Schizosaccharomyces pombe: one gene and its partners. The protein of the gene in region 2 binds, or shares a complex with, the protein of the main gene of each other region. Each region holds a gene or a part of one and is shown on either strand. Other genes may lie near its edges. The genes, in order: ytm1, erb1 and ppp1.

Region 1 (7,745 bases), on a different chromosome or scaffold from region 2:
TATGATCAGTTTCATTTGTCCCAATACTAGATGAGGAGGGAGACCTCCTACTGTAATCTGTAGAGCTCGAAACGATATCACTCATTTTCGGTTATGACTTTTTAAAATCGTCAAACGATATAAAGAACTAACAGATATATGAAATATAAATACACAAGAAAATCCTTTTTCAAATATTTTACAGCTGGTATTATCGTTTCAAAGTTAACGATCAGTAGCTAACTTTTATTTTTACTTTTTGAAAACTGGTCAGATGTCCGCCTACGTAGAACAATGGTTCAATAACAAACTTGAGTCATACAATGCCCAATAAATAACCCCTTATTGCCCTCAATTCTTCGTCTTGATTCAACACTAGGCGTACAATGGTGGTGTAAATAAAAGGCACATACATACTGGTTTACACTGAGTAAGGAGAGAGTGGGAAGAGTTCACCGAGCTCTCGGTGAATTTTCGGTAGCTTGTTCTCCGAAGCCTTTGTAATAACACCAAAGTATCCTACTGTAAACACTAAACAATTTGCAAGTCAACCTTTGATATTATGTGTGCCAAATTTTAGTATGAAGAAAAATGAAAAGGCAAACGTATGTATATGAAAAGAGGGAAATCGTGATTATCTAATGAATGGCAGATATCGGCCTCATACAATGACCTAATTGCAACAATTTGCAATCCTCGTATCTCTGATGTCGGTACATATCGCATTGAGAGTGTTGTCGGTGAAGGTACGATACTTTTGTGTTATTGTGAACGCTCAATACTGGACGGCTATCTAACAAGCATGGGTTGTAGGCAGCTTTGGAAAAGTTTATTTGGCAGCTCATTTACTGACAAATACAAAGGTATGGGTTATTCAAAGATTACTATGTCTCTAAGTTATAAAAAGAAGAATAAACGGCTCGTAAATTGCGAATATTGACCGTTCCAAAGTCGGTTGATTACATTATGAGAATGATAAACGTTTTATTCATCAATAAATTGATTGTACCTTGCTAACATTTTTATTAAAGGTTGTCCTGAAATCATCTTGCAGGAAACAAGCGATTATCCTTGCTCGAGAAATTCATCATCATCGGCGTCTTCTTCATCCAAACATCACGAGGCTTTATGAAGTAGTATGCACCGAAGACCGAATTTATCTTGCCATGGAGTATTGTCCAAATGGTGAATTGTATGACTGGGTAGCGAGAGAAAAAAGGCTGGATGAAAAGACCACTTGCCGTATCATGTGGCAGCTATGCTGTGCTATTCAGTATTTACATAGACAAGGCTGTGTTCACCGTGACCTTAAACTCGAAAATATTTTTCTAGATAAAGCCTACAATGTTAAGCTTGGAGACTTTGGGTTTTCTAGAGATTCTGATTGTTCCCGTAGAACATTTATGAACACACGTTGTGGTACAGTTGCTTATTGTGCTCCGGAGCTAGTACAGGGCCATAAATATATTGGTGAATGCGTTGATATATGGTCTCTGGGTATAATTATGTACGCTCTCTTAATAGGAAGGCTCCCGTTCGACGAGGACGATGTATCTTTAACTGAGCAAAAAATTATCAATGAATGTCCTCAATATCCTGAAACACTCTCCAAAAACTCTTCAAGCTTGTTGAAATCCCTCCTTTGCAAGGATTACCGACTTCGACCCTCTATCGATCAAATCATCTCTCACCCCTATTTCAAGGAAAATGGATATCATTCATCTTCTATTCGAGACCCAAGGCCTTCCTCGAAAGCAGAGGAAAAAGTTCGTAAAAGGCTTGAATTTGTTGGTGTTGACATGGATCAACTTAATGCCAGCATCTCACAACAGCGCTGTGACATGTTCTATGGATGGTGGCTTTTATTACTAGAAAAAGAAATGCGTAAGGAAAACAAAAAAAAGAAAGGTTTGTTTCATTTACATAAAGGTTCATCTTCGGCTGTACACATAGCTCCAGCAACTCCATCATTAAAAACCGCTCAAGTTTCTGTTATGTCCAACAATCAGGATTCTTTAAAAAGTCGGCATACATCGTCAGATTCAAGTAATTCTTTGCTTTCTACATTTCGTAGTTGGTTATTCGATCCTAAACAAAAGCATACTGCTGATACGTTAAGCTCATCAGCAATTAGACCAAGAACACCTAGTCCTTCGGCTGAAAACTATTTAACTCAAGAAAATTTTGATTCCGATAATTTATCTGAGTCTTTAGACAATTCAGTTGAGAACCTTACCGTGTTTCCTTCGATTAACAGTTTTGGAAGAAGACACTCAAATCTTCCTCAAACAACGCACGTTGATACAGGTGAGCAAAACACACCATTCACTCCTCCTCTTTTAAAAACGGTAAACCTCGACGGTAATAAAGACTTTACCTTCCCCTCGAACTCTCAAAATAGCCCTTCTAAAAGTTCGAACCTCTCAATTAATATTGATATTCCACCTTCTCCTCTGCAAAATACTGTCATATCTCCCCAGCCGACTCGACGATCACGAACTCCCATACGCAGCTTGTCTGGGCGTTCTTCCGTTGCTTCTTCGAGGAATTCATCCCGTACTAGATCCTATTCAAACGTCTCTTCTGCATCTTCAAATTCTTTAATTTCTATTATTTCATCTAAACCTTCCAGTTCGACCGTTCAAAGGCAAACACCTTTTCATTCTCCTTTTGAACGATTGCACAAAAGTTTCCATTTTCCTTCCGGAGAGCCATTTAACACTCGTATAAATGCTACTGCAATTTTTACAGTTGGTTCTGGTAGAAAAAACCCGCAATCATCTTCCTCTCTGATGTTTAATCAAAGCTCAGTCAAAGAGGAAGAGGAGCCGGAAGAAACCAGTTTTTCAGACTCTTCAAAACATTTCACAGACTTGCTCTGAAGCTTAAGTTTATTACACGATTACTAAGCTACGTGGTGTGTATAATTTGAATTATTAACTTATTTTGCTTTAATAAAGTGTTCTCTTAAATAATTTAATCAAACTTTTAATCTCTAGTAGTAATGACCTTGTTCCTTAACTTATCCCGCTTGTACCACACTAAATCATAATCTGTCAATTTTTTTTATGCTACATCTTTTTTCATTCGCTTTTTCCAAAGGATGAGGATTGATTGATTTGAAGTTGTTTGTCAGTACCTCCCGTAACAATACCAATGGATTTATTCCAATCAACAGCGAAAAGTTTATCCCACTGAGAGCCTGTTTTTTCTGCTCTAGAAATTGTGTAAATACTGCCGGATGTAGCACGGACATCCCAAACACGACAAGTGTTATCGTGAGAGACGGATGCAAACATATAGGGATTTTCTGGGCTTGCCGATAATCCGGAAACTAAATTCTTGTGGCCGGATAAAGTATGACTCACAATTTTGTCGCTTCCCGCTCGAGGGTCGTGAACAACAATGTGTCGCGCAGAGGAACCACAAATGACTAAGTGTAGGTCAGTAAGTTTTTCCACGCATAAAAGAGGAGCTTTGGTTATCTTGGAATCAACATTTTGCCCAGTAATGAGATCCCAAGTCTTAATTGTGTGATCTTGGCCTACGGAATATGCAACACTTGGATCATCAGAAAAGACGATATCCATCACCGGTCCAGTATGCCCCTCACAAAGGATCAGCGGAGAGCGAGCCCCAGCTTGAGGTGTGAATTCTGCATTTTTGCGACGTCTCTTTTTAGATATAGACGAGGAAAAGGACTCGAGGGTAGTCTCAGGAGACCTTTCAAAATCCCAAATTCCGACAGTATTATCCGCAGAAGCAGAAATAAAAACGCTTGAAGATTCTAAGGATCGTACGCGCTCAACTATATCCTTGTGCCCTACGAAAAGAGTTTGAAGGATACCGGAGCTTTTCTTTTCAGCATCCAACATTGATTCTGGCTCTTCGATCACCCAATGAAAAATTTTTTGATCAAGTGAAGCAGTGAGAAAACTTTGATTAGGTATATGCCAGGATGCACTTTTTAAAGATGATCCACATCCAGTTGATTGAAATTTTATTTCACCACTTTTATCCCAAACACGAGCTATCCCATCGTATGAAGAAGTAAGAATGGTATCTGAGGTTAGTTGAATACCAGAAATCCAATCGTCATGAGAGAAAGAAGCTAAATATGCAGGTGGTAATGTAGATTGGATATATTCAATATCAAGAATCGACTCCGTAGACAATCCGTTTTGAACTATGTACTCATCGAGAGTAGTTTTTAACAGCTGACCCTGAACCAAAAAATCAAAGGGTGTTGGCTTTTCTAGTAAAGTTAGTAAGGAAATAAATTAAATTAACTAAAAAATCGCAAAATTGTATAGCAATGAAGCAAAACGAGGATGAAAGGTAAAAGAGACAAAAAAATAAAAAAAGGGCTTTTAGTAATGCATCTTCAAGAATTTTACAAAATTTTAAGAAAGGCGTGAAAAAGAACACTAGAGTAACTCTTAGATTCGAGAAGCCCCCATTTGATTCTCGCCAACAAATTTCAGCTTCTACACAGTTTTATAGTAATTGGGCCTTGCATGAGACCAGCTATTCTATTGCTTCAAATTTTCTTCAAGTTGGTTGAATTATGCGACTTTTCTCCTGCTTTGACCCAGTATGTGTTAACTGAAAACATACCTGTTTTTAGAAGATGATTTACAATTTGAGATAAGCCGTACCGCTTTAAAGATGTAGGAACAAAAATCGGCGTGTCACCAACAGCTAAATCCTCATTTCTAGTAGTAAAACGGACTTGAACTTGGCCTGAAGGAGCGCTTTGGGCATCCATTCTGTTGTTGGTGGAAGGAGTGTCGAAAAGATCAAAATTTCCAGTACCAAAAAAATGAGGATAATGACTTTTGGCTGAATTGATCAAGATGTTACGAGACTGTTTTTTAAGAATTTTCAAGTTTAATCAACCCAATTCGTATTCATCGATAGCGGTCCTAATTCAGCTTTTTTTTTTGAGTAGAAAAGTAACAGTTGAACAAAATCTAAGAATAACAAAAATAATATTAGAAGATTTAAAGTATGCTTTAAAAGTAAAAGGATAAACTTTTTTAAAGCTTATTTTTTTCCAGAGTATGCTCGAATTGTAAGATTTAACGTCTTTTGAAATACTTCTTTTAAAACGACTTAAATGATGATTTGACCGGTATTATTTACAGCTCATTATAACATTGTAATTTTTTGGAATGCTTTCACGTTATTTGAAAGAAGATTTCAATTATGCCTTTGAAAGCATCTATAGCGCTTTTAACACATAGCCGGTTTACCAACTGCATATATTCCCTTCTTGAGCCCACCACTTTTCAAGAAATTCCAAGAACCAGTACTTTTCTTTTTTAAAACTTAATAAAGATCTATCAATTTATCCTTTTTCACCAATTTGAGTGCAATACTCGAGAAATTTTGGAGAGTTTCTCAATTAGCGAGAAGACTTTGTTTAGATCGTTGATTTATCGTGTGTTTATATTTTTATAAAAGAAGAGGAGACTCAATTGATTCTATCCTCGAAAAAGGTTTTATTTTGGGAAAGAATTCATCGGTTCTAGGATTTGGTGGGATTTTAGGACTCAGGCTGCTACATATTTTTATGTATATTACTTTGCGCTGTTCGCAATTTTAATTATTTCTTACAATTGATTACTTCTTATAATTTATTCTCATTCTTTTTTGTCCTCTCACATATTGATCGTCGATAAAAAAAAAATTTTATTGAAGATTAACAGGACATCATGGGTTTGGCTGGTGTAAAAAAGAAACAACAGATTGGTGTGGATCCTCGGAATTCTAAATGGGCAAAAGATACAAATAGATTGGGATTTAAGCTTTTATCCTCCTACGGTTGGGTGAATGGTAATGGCTTGGGTGAAAAGCAACATGGTCGCATTCATAACATCAAGGTCAGCCTAAAAGATGATACACTGGGAATTGGAGCCAAAGCAACTAACGATCTTGAATGGAGCGGTTTAGGTGAATTCAACGCTATTTTTGGTCGACTTAACGGCGATGAGTCTGCGTATGGTGTCTATGCTGAGAAAGCAAAGGTGCAGCAACTAACATACGAGAGACAGAGTGCGAATGAGAAGGGTTTAAAATCACTTGAGCTATCCAGACGATTTGTTTTGGGTGGGACGTTTACTAGTGAATTTTCTGAATGGATGCAAAAAGCAGAGGAGGATGAGGATCGTGTATGTGAAGATGCGTCTTCATCCGATGAAGCTAAGCGTGAAAAAAGAAAGAAGCACTCTTCTAAGAAGAAAAGTAAGAAAAAGACCTCTACTGGTTCGGCTCTTGATCCTAAAAAGTTGGAAAAAATAACGAAGAAGAAGAAAAAAGAGCACAAGAAAAAGGATAAGGAAAGTTCTTCAAAAAAGAGAAAATCAGGCTCAAGCGACAAAGAAGAGAAAAAGAAAAAGAAAATAAAATTAAAGGATAAACCAGAGTCCACTTCCTCTGTCGAGAAGGTCAAAGAAGGCAACCGACCCGCTAGCATTCATTTCCATACCAGAAGAAAATTTTTGGCACAAAAGCGAGCAGCAGTAAGCGACCCAGTTGCTTTAAGGGAGATTTTAGGTATTAAAGGTTAGGAAGTGACTTCTTTTGCTATTTTTCTAACTTGCGGAATATAATAAACGAGTCTTAGAAGTTATGGGTATACAATACTTTAAGAGGAAGGGTTTGTCGGTTTTTTAATCTATGTCTTAATAGAAGGTAATATTTAGTTGATTTTGGAAGAAATTGCTGGATTCGGGCTTGTAATTTCGAAAAGCTACTTATGTCGTATTGTAATCAGCTATTGAGAGTAATCGCGTTCGTATTTTATGACTCTGGTTTGTGTAATACGGGATTTTAGGTAAAAATATTGACGACTTCATCCTGAAAGTTTTACATTACTAAACATTCATTAAAGTTACGATAATCATTTACACACATACCAATCGAAGTATCTCATATGCCATACAAAGAATTAGTTAAAAATAACATTTCTATTAAGCTATGGAGATCGGAAGGCTATTCCTCCATCACTAAAACTCTGGTTATATTCACATGCATTAAATTGCACGTTTCCATACAAAAGGAAGTCTAAAAAGAAAACTACTCGAGCTAGTACAACCACCAATTTAAAAGTAGATCTCCTGCTAGAGAAAGTTAGTATAGTTCAGTAAAAATAGAATAGTATGTGAATACAGAAAAATCACAGTAATGCTCAGCAATATATATCTACTATCTTTTCCCGATTTTTTTTCAACATAATTAAATCTGTTGTCCCTATCAAGAAATCATCTTCGCAACTGTCTTTTTTCTTAAATTATGTATTGCACTTACACATGATTAACAATTACAATTTCAACCGCAATATTATTGCGTTGTTCTTATAAACTCATTGTTGAAGTATATGGTTAATATCAAACTGCTACGGCGCTTCAGAGAATTTATAGTGCTACTCAAAAAGAATAACTGAGTGAAGTGGGAACATCGTATTTTTAAATGTGTCTTTTAGTATTTTTCCTATTGTTTTATGTTTCTAAAACTTGCTAGATGAAAACTTCAAGCAACTAACTTCTGGCATACGTGTTTGTACCAACGAATACCTTGCCTGGTCGAAACGCACCAGCAGCCAACATTTCCAGCTGTCCTTCATTTGGAGCTTGGGAAAATGGACATCAATGATCCATCATTTTCATCGACTGAAAATGGTATTTATGAACTTCTATCACGTGGCTATGCTGCGATTGAAGCTGCAACGGAGCGTGATTTAAAATTGCCAGAGTTAGGAGACA
Region 2 (8,623 bases):
TCAGAACGCTTCCTTTTCAGATTATCCTCATCTTCTTGTTGCTTCAATTGTTTTGCTTTTTGCCGAAACGACTTTTCCTTTTCTTGACGTCGCTTAACAACCTGAATGTTTTCAATAGCAAATTCGACAATTAGACGACGAGGACGATCATTGTAATCGATATTTGGTAGCTGCGGCTCAGGAATTTTATGCTTTCGCGCCCACTCAATTTCTGCATCTATTATTTTTTTAACAGTAATTTCCCGTCCATTCAGCCAGCGTAAAGCCATAAGTGCATATTTATGAGAAATAAATTGCATGAAACCAAAACCCTTTGATCTTCCAGCACCAGCCTTCTCAGTTTCTACCTTAGCTTGCTTAAGTACACCACCACTTTTCCCCCTTTTAAGTCTGTGTCCCTTGTCAAGATTCTCTTCCTCTTCAGTTATGTTAGCTCGTAATCCTTTCGAAACGTCGTCCATAAATCCACGAATAGCTTGTCTACCCAGCATTGCTAAAATTTTAGGATCAATGTGTCTAGAAATATTACGAATAGAGAGACGATTAAGAGAAAGATGTAAGGTGGGATTTTTCTCCAATAATTTTTTACGTTGGGCGATAGACTGACTTCTTAACGTTTTGTCAGTCTCAGATAAACTGTTAAACAAAGGATGATCGGCAGCAATTTTACCTTCATTGAGAAGAAATAGATGACGCCTATCAACACCTTTCCCCATTTTTTGCTTTCTCTCTTGTAAACTTTTTTGATTAATGTCCGAAGCCTCTTTTCGTGTAACAGCGCTCGTAACTTTCAACAAACGACCATGTAGAAGGAAACGAGAACTTACGCTGTCAGTATCAATTCCCTCATCTACTAAAACTGATGGAAGAAAACGTTTTTCAGCCTCAGTAGGCTCTTGTGTAGGTAACTGAGAAGCCATTTCAAGACAATTTTGACAATCCTTTTCATAACGGAACTTAATAAAACCCCTTCCCAATGAACGATCAGTAGCAGGATCCTTAACTAGCTTAGCGTATGCAAGCGGCCCAAATTGACGAAAGTGATTATACAATTCTTGTTCCGTACACTCAAACAAAAGGTTGCGAACAAACACAGTGTCCTCCAATCCTTCATTGTCCCGAATTTCATGATTTATAGAATTTTTGTCAGAAGATGAATCACCAGAATCCTCTACATCGTCGACATTGCTACCCTCTTCTTCACTTTCCCCCGCCAATTCTTTACCCTCCGAATGCCCATCCACTTCCTCCTCAGATTCTGAGTCCGCAGAAGCATCTTCAGTTACAATTGAGTGTCCTTCATCAGATACAAATTCTTTGTTTTCCTCCTCAGAAGATGCATCCTTTAATGTAGTAGCTTCGAATGCATCTTTACTAACTGCCCAGTCAACGGCAATAGGACGACCATCAATTTCTGTCCCATTTAGAGAATTCATGGCTTCCTCAGCAGCTTTACGATCTTTCATCCAGACAAAGGCGAAGCCGCACATACGACCTCCACCCTTTGTAGGGATTTTAATTTCACGAACTTTACCAAACTTTGAAAAATGAGGCTCCAAATGTTGTGGCTTTTTAATTGACCAAGGAAGATTTCGGATAATTAGACGAGGTCGATTATCCTGCCTAATTGTCTTCTTAACAGCCTTATTCTGGTCTGTGTCTACCTCCGATCGTTTACGGGGAGTAGCGAAATCCAATCGAAGAATTCTTCCATGTAATTTTTTATTTTTCAACTCCTTAGCTGCTCTTTGAGCATCTTCAAGCATTGAAAATGTTACAAATCCATATCCTCGATTTTCACCTGTTTCCGGATTAGTAACCACTACTGCATGCTTGATAGGTCCGACATCGGAAAAGAAGTTTGTTAAATCATCTTGCTTTGTCTGGAAGGCAAGATTTCGCACAAATAATGTGCTATTTGAGTTCATGGTACAACGACAATTTCTTTTTTCCTAAGAACATGTACTTTAGACTTTTTCGAAATTAACGAGAAGAAATCTTCAACACTCTATATTATTTAATGACACTCGGTATATTATCATTTCGTTGCAAATCCTTATACATGTTAACGGAAGCGTACTCTACTTTGCAGAAAAAGCAAAAAGAAACTTTGAACAGGAACTAAACTACCTTGTCTTTTTCCAAGATGGAGACTGGCATGAATAGGAAGAGGTCCAGGTCCAAAAGAGCCAATTCCAACGTTGGCGTAGAGAAGGATAAGGAAAAAGAAAAGTCTAAAGGAGTTTCAAATGTGCCAAATGAGGTTGAGACTGAGAGTTCTTCACATGAACCAAGTTTTAAAAAAGATGTTGATGAGGAAATTCCATCTTTGACGGCCGAGTTATCCGAGGAAGAAGAAGGGGAATATTCTTCTGAAAGTGGACGTTCTACTCCAGAGTTATCCCCGGATGATTTTGAGGATGCTGATGATGAAGAAGAATTTGAGGAAATCGATGCTGGTTATTCTTCCGATTCCTCTACAGAAGATGTCGCTCCTGGACTATATGAATCTCCTTATGATGAGAATTTGTATATAAATTATGATATAGATGGAAAAAAGATTACCCGACCTGCGACACCTGCTGCTTTGGATTCTTTAATTGCTAGCATTGATAAGGACAAAGGATGGACTGGAATAGTTGATCCTATGACGGGAAAGCCGGTTAACTTGACTACGGAAGAGCTCGGTTTGCTAAAGCGACTTGCTCAATCCGAGATTCCTGACGAAAACTTTGATCCATATCCTGATTATGATGATTTTTTTACAAACACCGTACGGGAAACTCCTCTTTCAAGCGCTCCTGAGCCCAAACGTCGATTTGCTCCCTCTAAGCATGAACAAAAGCGTATTTTACAGCTTGCTTATGCTATCCGTAAAGGAAGAATTCTCACTTCTGAACAGCGTGCTGAACGTGAACGCGAAAGTCAAAGCAATTATGCAGATCATGATCTTTGGGCGGATGATGATCAAGCAACTGTTAACCAGAGAAAGTTGGACTATGCACCTGCACCTAAGCTTCCTCCTCCATCACACGAGGAAAGCTATAACCCTCCTGAAGAATACTTAAAACAGTCTTCGGACTTTCCTAAGAAATATAAATCCTTACGTGTTGTTCCTGCTTACTCAAACCTTATAAAGGAGAAGTTTGAACGTTGCTTGGATCTTTATTTAGCTCCCCGTGTTAGACGTACCAAACTTAATATTGATCCAGAATCGTTACTTCCTAAACTTCCTACCCCCTCTGAGCTTCGTCCATTTCCGACACGCTGCACCAATGTTTTCATCGGTCATAAAGGTCGTGTTCGTTGTCTTTCGGTCCATGTTAGCGGAAATTGGCTTGCAAGTGGAGGTGATGATGGAGTTTTACGTATTTGGGAAGTAATGACTGGTCGTTGTGTTTGGAAATGCAGCTTGGACAGTTTTGGTAATGCACATAATATTGATAGCGATGAGGATGCGGTTAATGAATCTTTAAGTCACTCTACAAAGAGCTCTATAATTCAATCACTTGCTTGGGGACCTCTTTCAGATAGTCCAGTGCTTGCTGTTGCTGTTGATGAAACAGTCTATTTCATCACACCCCCGATCTTTTCTGACGAGCAGATTGAAGCTTCTAAAGAATTGTTTACTTCTGCTCCTTACCAAGAATCTAGTGCAATATGGAGAAGAGGAGCCAAACAATCTTTACAATTACATGGTGGTATAGTCCATGCTACTGTTTCTACTCCCAGTAGCATTAAGTCCTTGTCTTGGCATCGTCGCGGTGATTACCTAGCTACTTCTTCTCCTACTTCTTCTAGCCAGGCGGTTCTTATTCATCAGTTGTCAAGAGGTGCAAGTCAATCGCCATTTTCTAAGTCTAAAGGTTCTGTGCAAGCTGTTACGTTTCACCCTACTATGCCTTATCTTCTGGTTGCTACTCAACGATATGTCCGCATATACAATCTTGTTAAGCAAGAGCTTGTAAAGACCTTGTTAACTGGTGTCAAATGGGTTTCGAGTTTAAGTGTCCATTCGAGTGGGGACCATGTCATAATAGGTTCCTATGATAAAAGGCTATGTTGGTTCGACTTAGACTTTTCTTCTAAACCATATAAAAATCTTCGATATCATTCACGTGCTCTTCGCGATGTCTCATATCATCCTTCCCTTCCACTATTTTGCTCTGGCTCTGATGATGGTGATGTTCAAGTGTTCCACGGTCGTGTTTACAGTGACCTTCTGGCTAATCCCTTGATTGTTCCTCTTAAGATTTTGCGGAATCATAAAGTGGTTGATAATGTCGGTGTTTTATCCACATGCTGGCATCCAAAAGAAGCCTGGTTATTCAGTGCAGGTGCTGGTGGAGAAATTCGGATGTGGACTTGAAAAAGGTTTGAAACGTCTTAAATATTTTTGTTTTCTTCACTTGCTTTAAAATTTAGAAAAACTCTACTTTTAAAAATAATGTTTGGTAGTGTTTACTGCAAAAGATACTTTTTCAATGCTGTATTATAGTTTTGCTAACAAGTCGAAAAGATTGTTTTCGTACTTGATTTTGGATATTTAATAGGAATATAGGGGTTTTCGAAAGTTTAAAATGCATTTGTGCAAACTGAATATGTTTTTATTTTTTATTTTTTGGTAAGTTATCTAAAGTATTTAAGTATTACGTGATATCAAAAATCGTAACCGTTGAAATTCAATAGTGCTTTTTATATATCTATAGTTACCTAATCATTAATTGCTTAATTATAAAAATACAGCAAGTTTAAATGCAAGTAAACATGCTGGACTTTGTGGATTAAATGAAATGATTTAAAATCTCCAAGATTTCCAAGACAGCTTTCCTTATAAAGCTAAAATCGATGAAAGAAGTGAAAAAATAACAAAAAAAAAAGAAAAAGAAAGTGATGAGTAAGTCTGAGTTAATCCAAATTAAACTTGACTGATATCGCCTTGCAAGGACGGCAAATAGGGGTATTTTCTATCATAAAATAACCCTCATCTCCAAGTAGGGCATTACAAGCTCCGCAGGTCCAACATTGGCTATGATATTCACCATCAGACCCTTTTACACTGATCCCCAAAATGGGTTTACGGCATTTCTTGCACTTAACAGCATACTTATTATCATAACAAGTCTGACACCAGTATAGGTCGTCACGGTAAATACAGGGTATATTTACATTAAAAACTTCAGAGCAACCAGCGCAAAAATGATGATTTTCATGAAACCAATCATTGTTGATATGGACCGCTTGGTCTTCAATTGGGGTTTTGCAGTGCTTACAGCGAGGACTGAACTGTTCATGATAGTCTAGATGACAATAAAATTTTCCCTCGCGGTAATAAAATCCAACGTGCTCTAAGTTCTGGGAACAAGTATCGCATTTGAAGCATTGAGGGTGTAATTTCTTTCCTGAAGCACTAATTATTCTGCCAGCGCGTAAAGAACCGCCGCAACTATGACAGGATTTTTCAGAATTGCCTCTATAAAGAACTGGTTTTGTAGATGTATGAGAAGATACCATTGAAGGCTTAAGTGAATCTGATTGAAATAAATTATTTGAGGACAAGTTGCTAGGCAATTGTGAAGTGGGGGTGGGCAAAGGATATAAGCTATTAGCAGGAGCAGAATGAAAAGAATGCAAAGCGGGTCTACGATTGGAAAGTTTACTGGATTTCTGTAAAGGAAGAGTAGGAAGTTGTTTGGATGCGAAGGTTTTTTGTCTGTCTTCAATGCAATCATGATCAACAAGCGGCTGTAAACCGGTATGACAATCGTAAACATTTCGTACGTCTGGATAATTAACATGTGAATTCAATTCCTCCGGCGAACTAGGAAACTCATCGTCGTCACTGTATGCAAGAGATGGCAATTCAGGTAAAAGCTCCTTTTTTAAGCTATCGAAAGTAGAAGTAGAAGCAGAGGTTAGTAGTGTTTTTTCCGGCGACGAAACATTAGAACGAGAGAGCTCGTCATCAGGCAGATCAAAACGTACACGATTTTGTTTTATTGTTGGATTCCTCTTGGACAAAGGAGATTCAGGAGTCTTCAAACTTGGTTGCGGTAATGGTGTAGCTATTCGACCTCCAGTAAAGTTAAGTGCTCCATCAGATAACCGAGAACGAACTAAATTGTTTAGCGGGGAGCCATTAGTAGAGACCGGCGAAGAAGGAGCAGCACGAGGACCAGTCAATCGACGTTCAAATCTACAAAAACGAAGTTAGATACCTAATTGGGTAATAACAATAAGACAATAGATTACCTTGGTAATTCTGGAATTGGTGAATGCATTTGCTGATATGCTTCTCAACTATCAGGACACTAATCAACGGAAAGAATTCAGGATCGTTGACAACCTTAAGAAATCAGGATAGCCAAGCTCGCAGGGTATAAATCTAGCCGCAACACTTAAAAACAAGATAAAAAATAGGAAGAGAAGGATAAGGAAGGAAAAACAAAAATCAAGCTGGGATTAACTTATAGAAAATTGTTGCCAACGTAAGGATATATATCTCAAAGAGCGGAGTCCCCCAAAAAAACTAGCTGTATTAAAAAAATGCAATTGTAAGCAAGTAGTTATTATTTAGAAAGCAGTAATATTTGCTTTATCCAAAGTGTTTTAGCTAATAAGTGTTGGCTTTGTTTAAGTGTATATTCCAAAATATAAACAAACATTCGTTGTTATAGAAACCAGCCTCATAATAGGTAACATTGTACCTTTAACGAATACTTAGAGAGTACGTATTCAATGTTTGTATACCAGCAGAAAGTAAAAAAATGCGAATATATTAGTAATTAAAGTGAATTAAGCCATTCCTATGCAGAAAATGTTCCAAACGAAATCAATGTTATTTGTTGGACAATTTTATATGTTGCGATTTCATAATATGGTACAATATCTTTTTATAATTTATTTTTTTTATACTTTGGCAGTAGATTATTGTGGAGCGCGTTATTAATGCTTACTGTATTGTTACAGCTCTTTAAATGTCATTAACTACCCCATTATGCTTTGTCAGGCATACAGCATTTCGCTTATTGTTTCATAAATAGAAACCTAATTTTGGCTTTCAAGCTACAGATTGACCTAAGAAAATTCTTTACCAGTTGTAAGTATAATTGTATAAGAAAAAATATGTAGACCCGTGAGTCTGTTCAGTGTGTAGTTACTTATAAGCGTTGCAATGTGTCGCAAAATGATATTGTATATAAAATTACGATCACACTGTACCACACAAACGTCGTTAAAGGAAAAAACACTTTTTTGACTGTAGATTTGTTAGAAGCAAAAGTGTTTGAGAATAGTTTATGTGCGGAATTCTTTTCGCCTTAGCGGAAGACAGAGATAATCTTCTTGAAAGTCCATCTTTTTCAGCTTTACGAAAAAGGATTCGGGCTAGAGGACCTGATTTTTTTGGTAAGCATAAATTGAATAGCGGACCTTGGAATTTGCACTTTGAGTCAAGCGTTTTGCATTTACGTGGCCCTTCTGATCATTTAACGCCTCAACCTCATGTTGACAGTTTTGGAAACGTTTTGTGTTGGAATGGAGAAATTTGGCAAATAAACCATAGCGATCATCACAAATTTACGCTCAATCGTAATGAAAACGACGGTGCAAAACTTTTTGAACTTTTAAACAATAACCCGGGCGACATTGAAAAAATTTTGGGAAGTATTCAAGGACCTTTTGCTTTTGTTTACTACCAAGTTCGTACAAACACATTGTGGTGGGGAAGAGATCGCTTAGGAAGAAGATCCCTTTTGTATAGTTTACGAGATAGTAATTTCGTTCTCTCAAGTGTAGGAAATTCTAGTGATTTCCGAGAAGTTGAGCCTGGGTTTCATAGTGTGCAGGTGGACTTGATCCCAAAAATTAACTTCTCTAAATCATTAATGCAACTGGAAAAAACAAACCCTCTTCCTCCTGTGGATGAGTCCTTTCTCATGGGCTCAATCTCTTCAGACACTGTGGACACATTGCATACATATCTTATCAAAGCGCTTCAAGATAGAGTTTTAACAATCCCCAAACTGTGCTCTTCAAACCTTGACTGTAGTCATTATAGCCGAGTTTGCGTTCTTTACTCTGGGGGAGTGGATTGCGGTGTATTAGCACGGCTAATGCACGACATAGTTCCCAATAACGAGTCCATCGATTTAATTAATGTGGCTTTTGAAAACCCAAGATTTACAGAGACATACCGTGACAGAGAGACGGGACTTCTTCCTGACAATTTTGATGCATACGACGTATGTCCTGATAGACAAACTGGATTACAAGGCTGGCAGGAGCTTATTTCAGTTTGCCCTGCTCGAAAATGGAATTTTGTTGCTATAAACGTTCCTTATACAGAAGTATGTGAAGCACAGGAAATAGTCAAAACACTTATCTATCCGAACGATTCAGTTATGGATCTTTCTATTGGATTAGCTTTTTATTTTGCTTCACAAGGGCGTGGTGTACTTTTACAAAACGTGGATGATATCAAACTGAAACATCAATTACCTTCCTATACTATAAAAGCTAAAGTCCTCATCAGTGGCCTGGGGGCTGATGAGCAGCTCGGTGGTTATATGCGGCACCTACGAGCGTTTGAACGGAAAGGTATGGCCGGTCTTGAAGAAGAACT
Region 3 (8,154 bases), 1.0 Mb from region 2:
ATAAAAAATGAAGAAAGCTACGACATTCCTAATGAGTACTTAGTCGGTGAAATCTTTCCCACTAATTCCAAGGTCATTGTCGAATCATTCTCTTCTCCGTTGAAGAAATTAGATGGGACTATGATAAACTTCAAAGAAAAAAATATTCAACATGATTTAGATGGCGTTGAAAATGATTTCGCTACTGTCCAAAGTGCATCTAATGGTGTTCATGCAATCAATGGGAAGCGTACGCATCCGGATGAGAGTGAAAACCCTCGAAAACTACCAAAAAAAAATTTTGTAGAGGCAATTGATGCGAACTCTCCTGGATTTGTATACAGACCAACTAGTATTCGCGATCGAGCATACTCAATTTCTTCAAATCATGATAATGAAAGTACATTAACCGAAGGGATTGCTTTAAAAGAAATTGAAAGTCCAGATAAAGATAGAAAGGCTGACGGTATAGTTAATTTATCAGTTACTCAGGAGGAAGATGATAATCACCAATCCTTCAATAGTTCCTTAACACCAAGTCAACCAACAACTTATAATCGAGCTAACTTTTTTTCAATTAACGATGCGTCTTCTGATTCATCGTCAGATGCTCCCTTGCGAACTTTATCATCGCCTTCCCGTCTTCGCATGAAAGATAATGATAGAAAATATTTAGTCGAACATTCTCCTGCCGCATTAATTAAAGAAAGTGAAACCATTGATGGAATTGATGATAAATCATTGCGTTCTTCTACTCGAGAAGTTTCTGTTGAAAGCCCAAATGAAGATTCAGTCAATGATGACAGTTCATCAGATGTATCCGATGAAAAAGAAACGGAGGCAAAGCATGAAATTAGAGCTCCTGCAATAATAGTTAGAGAAACTTCATCTCATCCATCCACTGCCGTTCCTTCCGAAAACGATACCACCGAATCGGAGAACGATACCCTTTCTGAATCCTCTACGACCTCTATATCTTCTTCCCCGTCCGAAAATTCAGATACTAGTGATGATTTAACGAAGGTTGATAGCCCGAATAAATCTCTGGTTAATGATAACGTTTCAGCTAAGCATGATAAAGAAAGTGAGAATGGTAAAAGCAAATTTCCCCCTCCTTCCCAGACCCTTGTTACTACATCGACGATATCTGCAGCGGGAAATGAACCTTCTGATGAGATTGGTTCTGAAAATGATTCAGATTCGGATTCAGACTCGGACTCCTCTGTTCCTTTAAGTCAACTACAGAAGAAATCACAACAACGAAATTCTGTATCTCACGAGATACAGAATAGAGGAACCAAAGGATCCCCGAAGGAACCTAAAGCTAAGCCTTCTACGGAAAGACCGGAGACTCATAGGACATTGTCTTACTCACGTCTTTCAGAATTGTCTAAAACGTTTTCTCCTGAAATTAGAGAACCTTCTCTTACGAAGAAGACCGCGGTCAGTATGCAGGAATCAAAAGAAGAAGGGCGTTCTGATGAATCTTCTGAAAGTGAAGAGTCAGGGAGTTCTTCAGATGAAAGCGACAATTCGGAGAAGGAAGATAGATCCAATCCTATTCCCGTTGAGAAAAGAGCAAGTACTGTACTAAATACAAAGAAAAAGAGGAAAGCCAAAAGAAACAGTGCTTTGGCTGGCTTGGCGGCCCTAGTGTAAATTTCTTGTTTTTGATTAACTCCCTTTACGCTCGTTTTTTTTTTTTTTTTCATCATAAGTCCAATAGCAAAAGAATTCTGTAATAGCGTTGTTGTGCTATCATATTGCGTATATAATAAATTTAGTTTTCTTGGCTTTCTGCATAATTTTGACTTATTAATAAAATTACATGTTAATTAGCTAGCAAAACTTGATTTAACTTTGATGCTGATAAAAAGATGTTGAAATTCTAAATGGAACGTTCTTTAATGTCCATTAAGTTGCTTCATTTCAAATCCTTTTTTGATGACTGATTGTAAAATTAAAACTGCTAGTTGTAGGAAACAGGAGACCAGACAATGACAGTAATTAGTATATTAGTAAAATTTTCCGGACTAAAATTCGTAAAAAAAAAGAACAAATTAGATTACAATATTCAAATATTTTCACGAGCTTTAGTATTTATATTATTATAGGCAGTACCTAAATTCACAAAAAATGCCATTATTTGTTGTATAGTAATTACTTTACCCTCGACATTACTCATAATGGTTCAATAGTGTTAACAAAAACTGATATTAGTAAAATCTTTCTATTCTTTAGTATGTTTATAACGAAGACCAGCTAAACATGAATTTCTTGATCCGGGCAAACTAACTGCGTATAGTTGATATTATGCAAAGTGAACGAACTTATTTATTTGTAGTAAAATAATAGCTCTATAAAAGTAAGATGATCGAAAAGAAACTTATCACACTCTTACTATAAAGTGCTTTAGCAATACGATAAATTGGGTGAATTTTCCCTTTACACAAACATATACATACGGTCTCATAAATCTCAGCGCTGATACACTATGCTATGTTATTCAACGTTGAGTAACTTTGTATGCCATAAGTTGAAGTGAAATCAGATTATTAATAACTGCGTATACCCGTCTATCTATTTAACACAAAAACCGTTGATATAAATTATTATAAAAATGATAAATGGAAGCTACAACTGAACTGAGGAGCGAGGCTCATATAATAATATTTTAGTGACAGAAAACGACGTAACCTGAATATAAGAATATCTATTACAAATTGCTATATATATCATATGCGTACTATATAATTTAATAAATCACAAGGAAGACTCATCGCAACTCTACCTGTCGTTAAAACAGATGCCTAGCTGCGTACCTGAAGATTTGTTTATTTACCGTAAAATGTAATAAACATAAATACTTTAATATATCACTACTGTATTGCTTAAGATTATAACTTACTTGAGTAGCTAACAACTAAATCGTCGAACATTGATTCACTTGGAGTAATTGTAGAAGTTTTGATAGTTATTTTAAATTACAAGACCTTTACAAACTTATCAAAAATCAATTAGTCCCTTGCCGCAAAGATTTATCTCAAAAGTACGGAAAAACACAAATATAGCGAAATTTAACGTAAAATAGTATAAGAAAATTTAGCGCTGTGAGATAATACTACCATCTAACACCATTTACGCAGTGCAGAGAGCTAAGCTAGTCTGTATGAAGGATTTTGGATTTTGCAAAATTCTTCCAACACCCTCTTTCTGCAAAAAGCCATCAAATTGAAGAAATGGCGAGGGTAAAACAGAAAGGTATGTAGCTTGTAAAAAAATTTTCTAATTGAAAACAGGGAAAGCAGGTGCAGCTCGTATCTACATTACGAGAAATCAAGCGCTTAAGAAGCTTCAGCTCACTCTTGCTGATTTTCGTCGTATTTGTATTTTAAAGGGTGTTTATCCTCGTGAGCCAAAAAATAAGAAAAAAGCAAATAAAGGCTCCACTGCTCCAGTCACTTTCTGTAAGTCTAATAGCATCAATTTTTACCGGAATCATAGCTATCTGAACATGGACGTTTGGTATAAAAAGCATTTTCCGAATGGTCAATTTTATCATGGGCTAGTCTTTTTTTGATGAACTAAAAGAATGAAATTATGTACTAATAAATATAATAGATTATACTAAGGATATCCAGTATTTGTTACATGAGCCTATTGTACAGAAGTTTCGCGAGTACAAAGTGTTCGCTCGCAAGCTTAGCAAAGCATTGGGAAAAGGGGAATTAGAAACTGCTAAACGTTTAGAGGCCAGAAAACCCACTTATTCTTTGGATCATATCATTAAAGAGCGTTACCCAACCTTCCATGATGCCTTGAAAGATATTGATGATGCTCTTAGTATGCTGTTCTTATTTTCAACTATGCCTGTTACCGACAAGATTGGTGCCGCTACTGTCGCTAATTGTGAAAGATTATGTGCTGAATTTCAACACTATGTAATTCGGTCAAATTCCCTTCGTAAAGCTTTCCTCTCTATTAAAGGAATTTATTATCAGGCCGAGATTTTTGGTGAGCAAATCACCTGGATTGTTCCCTACAAATTTGCTCAATCTGTTCCTACCGATGTTGATTTTCGTATCATGCACACTTTTTTGGAATTTTATCAAGCACTTATGGGGTTTGTAAATTTCAAGTTATATAATACCTTGGGACTTCGTTATCCCCCTAAGATTGATGTTGCTAAAAGCGAATCTGCCGCTGGTTTAGCAGCTTATGAGTTAGAGGAGTCTTCTTCCTTACCCGCTATCGTCCATGGTAATAACAAAAATGCTCGTAAGAATATTGCTACTTTAAAAAGTAAAATAAGAGATATTGTGAATAGTGATGCGAACGTCGTTGAGCAGTCGGAAAAAACTACTGAGGATGCTGATGAGGAACCTGAAACGGAGGAAAACTTAGATGAGTTTAAACCAGCTGATGGTGCAGATAATGAGGATTCCAAAAGCCTAGTATCACATATTTCATCATCTAATACCTCGTTGTTTTCTAATTTTACTTTTTTCCTTTCTCGTGAAGTCCCCCGTTTTTCTCTGGAATTTGTGATTCGTGCCTTTGGTGGTAAAGTTGGATGGGATCCAATTCTCGGATCAGGTTCTCCATTTTCAGAATCTGATCCTGTGATTACTCATCATATATGTGATCGTCCTCATATTTCACAGAAGTACGAAGGTAGGATATATATTCAACCACAATGGGTATACGACTCTATCAACAAAGGAATCTTGGAAAGGACAGACTTGTATGCCTGTGGCGCTACGCTCCCTCCTCATCTTAGTCCATTTGTTAAAGTAGGTGAAAATGACTACGATCCTGAAGCTGAACTTTCTGCTGAAGAGAACGACGATGTTTCCGAAGCTCTTGATGATAATATTTCTGGCGAAGCAGTGCCCATAAGTAAGAAGAATGACGAGCCTGAAAATGTTGAACAAATTGATGACGCTGAAGAGGAAGACTTAGAACATCAACGAGAGCTGGAGGCAGAAGCAGGCGGTGTCGCTTATTCTGAATATGTTAAACAGAATTCTAAGTCCGCGAAAAAGACTAAGAAGCGTCAACGTGATACTTTGACTGCAGAAGAAAAAGAAGAAAAAGAGGCAAAGGAGTTATCCAAAATGATGATGAGTAATAAACAGAGAAAGCTTTACAGTAAGTTGAAAAACGAAAATAGCAAAAACGAAAACTACAACAATGCGCTTCGCAATCGGAAGAGGGATATTGAAAAGAGGAAAAAATTAAAGGTTGAAAACTAGGTTTAATAAACAGTAATCATAGTAATAGATTATTTTGGGTCATTTACTTTTTGTTTCTTAAAATGAGTTCATTGTATTTTACTGTATCCATGGATTAGGTTCGTGTTCAATTTAATTGAAGCTGATCGTTTTTATATAATAAATACACTTTTGCTTAACATTTTTTCGACTGGGAGATAAAGAAGATGAATATCAATTTTTGAGATATATTATAAAATATTAATTTTATGTAGTCAATATTTATTTATAAACGTACAAATAATAATAATGAGTAAAATAAAACTCACGGTAATTTTAAAATAGAGAATGTAAAATATTTAAAGACAAAAAGAACAAAAAAATGAAGGCAAGACAACACTTTTTTTTTATTTTTTAAATTGACTTTCAAGGTTACAGTACGTTTAAGCACTGTAAAGCCAAGGCTTTTCAACCAACATCGAGGCCTGTGACGGAACTTCATGTAAAGCTAAGGGTTCAAGCAATTCTTTATGAATAACGTTAAGAGCCTTTACAGCCATTTTCTCGTCAATAACGCATGAAATGTTGATTTCACTAGCACCTTGACTAATCATCTCAATGTTGATTTGGGCTTCAGCAAGTTTGCAAAACATACGACCAGCGTAACCGGTAGTGTTTCTCATGTGCTTACCAACAAGAGATAGAATAGCTAAACCATGGAGAATATCAAGCGTTCCCAATCGACGCAATTCAACGAATGCCTCATGCATATTACCGTCATCAGACTCTTCGTAAAGCGCCATTGAGACGTGAACTTCTGAAGTAGTAATCAAGTCAACAGCCAATTTGTACTTATCAAGAATGGCAAATATGGAAGCTAAGAAACCATGAGCAGATATTTTACGATTCGATTGAATATTAATAACCATAATGGTGTCTTTAATAGTAACCGCGGTAGCGCCTTTGTTAGCGAGGCTAGCAGAAATATCATCGGGCATAATTTTAGGAGGATGAGGAGGTGTAGCACTACCATGACGTGAAATTGTATCAGGAAAAATAACAGTTCCCTTTCCACGTGGGTTGCCAACGTTTTTAATTCGGATAGGAATACGAGCGTGAACAACCTGGGACATAGTGAAGGGATGGATGACTTCACTACCGTAATAAGTAAGTTCAGCAGCTTCTTCAGGTGTGATGAGAGGAAGAAGTCGAGCAGTTGGAACCTTACGGGGATCAGCTGTGAAAATGCCATCAACTTCCTTCCATATTTGAAGTTCGTCAGCATTAAGACCAACAGCTAATAAAGCAGCGCAAAAATCGGTGTAACCACGGCCAATTTGCGACAAAAGACCACCCGGTACCATACCAAAAAAGCCAGTAACGACAGGTACTTTATTTCCAACAGCGGTAACTTTACTAGCAAGTTGGGAAGCAAGATATGCGTAAAAGGATGCATCAAGATTCCTCCACTCTCTTTGCTCGTCAATTATATGACTCATATCAATAAACTCAGAATCGATCCCTTGATCTTTCAAAACTGCCGCCATAAATCGGCAACTTAAACGCTCCCCCATGCCAATCACGAGATCACGAGTACGAGGAGAAACCTCGGAAAGAACTCTAATAGCATTTAGGTACTGTTCCAATTCAACGCAGTCTGCATGAAAAGCATCAATAAGTTCGTCTTGAATGCCAACATCCTGGATGAAATCACGAGCAGCTTGAACATGATCAGTTTCAATAATACGAACCAAATCATGCACAGAACCTACAGCAGGTCGCAATGCTGCTTCTGTTGCTCTAATAAGTCTAGTAGTAGTGCCTTCTGCTTTGGTATCTGTGCTGCGAGCAGAGCATACCAATGCTACGCGCTTAGTACTTAGGTATTCCCTAAATAAATTATTTAGTAATTTGTAATTTAACGGTCTAAAATGGTCGACAGTTTGTAGAGGAGTAAGCATTTAAATATATAAGTCTCATATCGATAGAAAGTGGAAAGAGTAACCAAAACCTCTTTTATCTCCTTTCTCTCATTTTGAATTCGATTCAAAAAAACCTAATTAGCCAATATTCCCAAGCATAATTCAACACATGAAATATCTTATTTTTAAATAATTTCGGGCATTCTAGCATGAAAACTCCAATCTAACGCACATTCAGGAAAAAGTTCTCTTGACTTCTTAAATATTTTTGAACCTGCTAGATTCAGACGATGACCATACTCCTCGAACCATCATATAAACTGTAAACAAAATACTCACTTTGCAACATCAACAGCAATTTTAATTGGGAACTTTCCAACACTGGTTCCACCGAATTTTTGAACAACCCACCCTTTGCTAGGATCGTTTTCTATATTCTTTGCAATTGACATGGTCAATGTTTTAGTTGGCACTGCTCAAGTGTGGAATTCAACGTTTCCGATATTTAGATCAATTCACAGATGAAAATCTCGATAGCGTTGCCACCTTCTATTTTGCAATTTTTTTTACAATTGCGTTAATTTGTTTTGCGTTGGGAATTTGCATGATACTTGGTTGCTTCACTATATTTACCATTTAATTTTAAATCAGATATGCATTGCAATGAGTATGTTAATATGAAGACTTTGAACGCTGAGTTGTCGGCGTTTTGTTGATTTGAAGGATACTTTATAGAAGATGAATGTGAATACATTAGATTATTTTACAAAAGTCTATATTTGAATCGTATGCTTATTGTCGACAAATAATGATTTCAAATTATATATCGCCCGAATTGTAAAGTTACTATTAACCTTAGTCTAAACTTGCTGCAGCGCTACAAACCCAAAACAGTATATATTTAATGACTGCATAAGCTGTCCGCGTAACACTTTATGTTGTCTAGGAATAAATTTCAGTGTACGGGCATAAGTTTGTACATTGTTATTACTCAAACAAAAGGATTTCACTTCTGTAGCACGCAAAGGAAAATAATGCTT

Evidence for each region.
Region 1: erb1 (region 2) and ytm1 share a complex: the UniProt entries of both Schizosaccharomyces pombe proteins name them as parts of the NOP7 complex.
Region 3: erb1 (region 2) and ppp1 share a complex: the UniProt entries of both Schizosaccharomyces pombe proteins name them as parts of the NOP7 complex.

What each region holds. Positions count from the first base shown.
Region 1 is NC_003424.3:5,004,111-5,011,855, forward strand, and holds ytm1 (ribosome biogenesis protein Ytm1), read right to left. Parts: upstream 4,769-7,745; 5' UTR 4,748-4,768; coding exon 4,597-4,747; exon of another isoform or gene 4,489-4,596; intron 4,316-4,488; exon of another isoform or gene 4,235-4,315; coding exon 3,063-4,234; 3' UTR 2,906-3,062; downstream 1-2,905. Other genes in the region: kinetochore-associated protein Alp7, read right to left, coding at 1-85; serine/threonine protein kinase Ppk16, read left to right, coding at 561-584, 632-725, 793-842, 1,011-2,861; pxr1 (PINX1 family ribosome biogenesis protein), read left to right, coding at 5,697-6,551; nucleoporin, WD repeat Nup155, read left to right, coding at 7,622-7,745. UniProt on the Schizosaccharomyces pombe protein: Component of the NOP7 complex, which is required for maturation of the 25S and 5.8S ribosomal RNAs and formation of the 60S ribosome.
Region 2 is NC_003423.3:2,710,170-2,718,792, reverse strand, and holds erb1 (WD repeat/BOP1NT protein), read left to right. Parts: upstream 1-2,133; 5' UTR 2,134-2,146; coding exon 2,147-4,369; 3' UTR 4,370-4,544; downstream 4,545-8,623. Other genes in the region: nop4 (RNA-binding protein), read right to left, coding at 1-1,928; paxillin-like protein Pxl1, read right to left, coding at 4,909-6,196, 6,253-6,281; asn2 (asparagine synthase), read left to right, coding at 7,299-8,623. UniProt on the Schizosaccharomyces pombe protein: Component of the NOP7 complex, which is required for maturation of the 25S and 5.8S ribosomal RNAs and formation of the 60S ribosome.
Region 3 is NC_003423.3:3,708,684-3,716,837, reverse strand, and holds ppp1 (pescadillo-family ribosome biogenesis protein), read left to right. Parts: upstream 1-3,180; 5' UTR 3,181-3,218; coding exon 3,219-3,240; intron 3,241-3,252; exon of another isoform or gene 3,253-3,278; coding exon 3,279-3,446; exon of another isoform or gene 3,447-3,600; coding exon 3,601-5,234; 3' UTR 5,235-5,419; downstream 5,420-8,154. Other genes in the region: nucleolar protein Dnt1, read left to right, coding at 1-1,638; hom3 (aspartate kinase), read right to left, coding at 5,636-7,082, 7,454-7,566. UniProt on the Schizosaccharomyces pombe protein: Component of the NOP7 complex, which is required for maturation of the 25S and 5.8S ribosomal RNAs and formation of the 60S ribosome.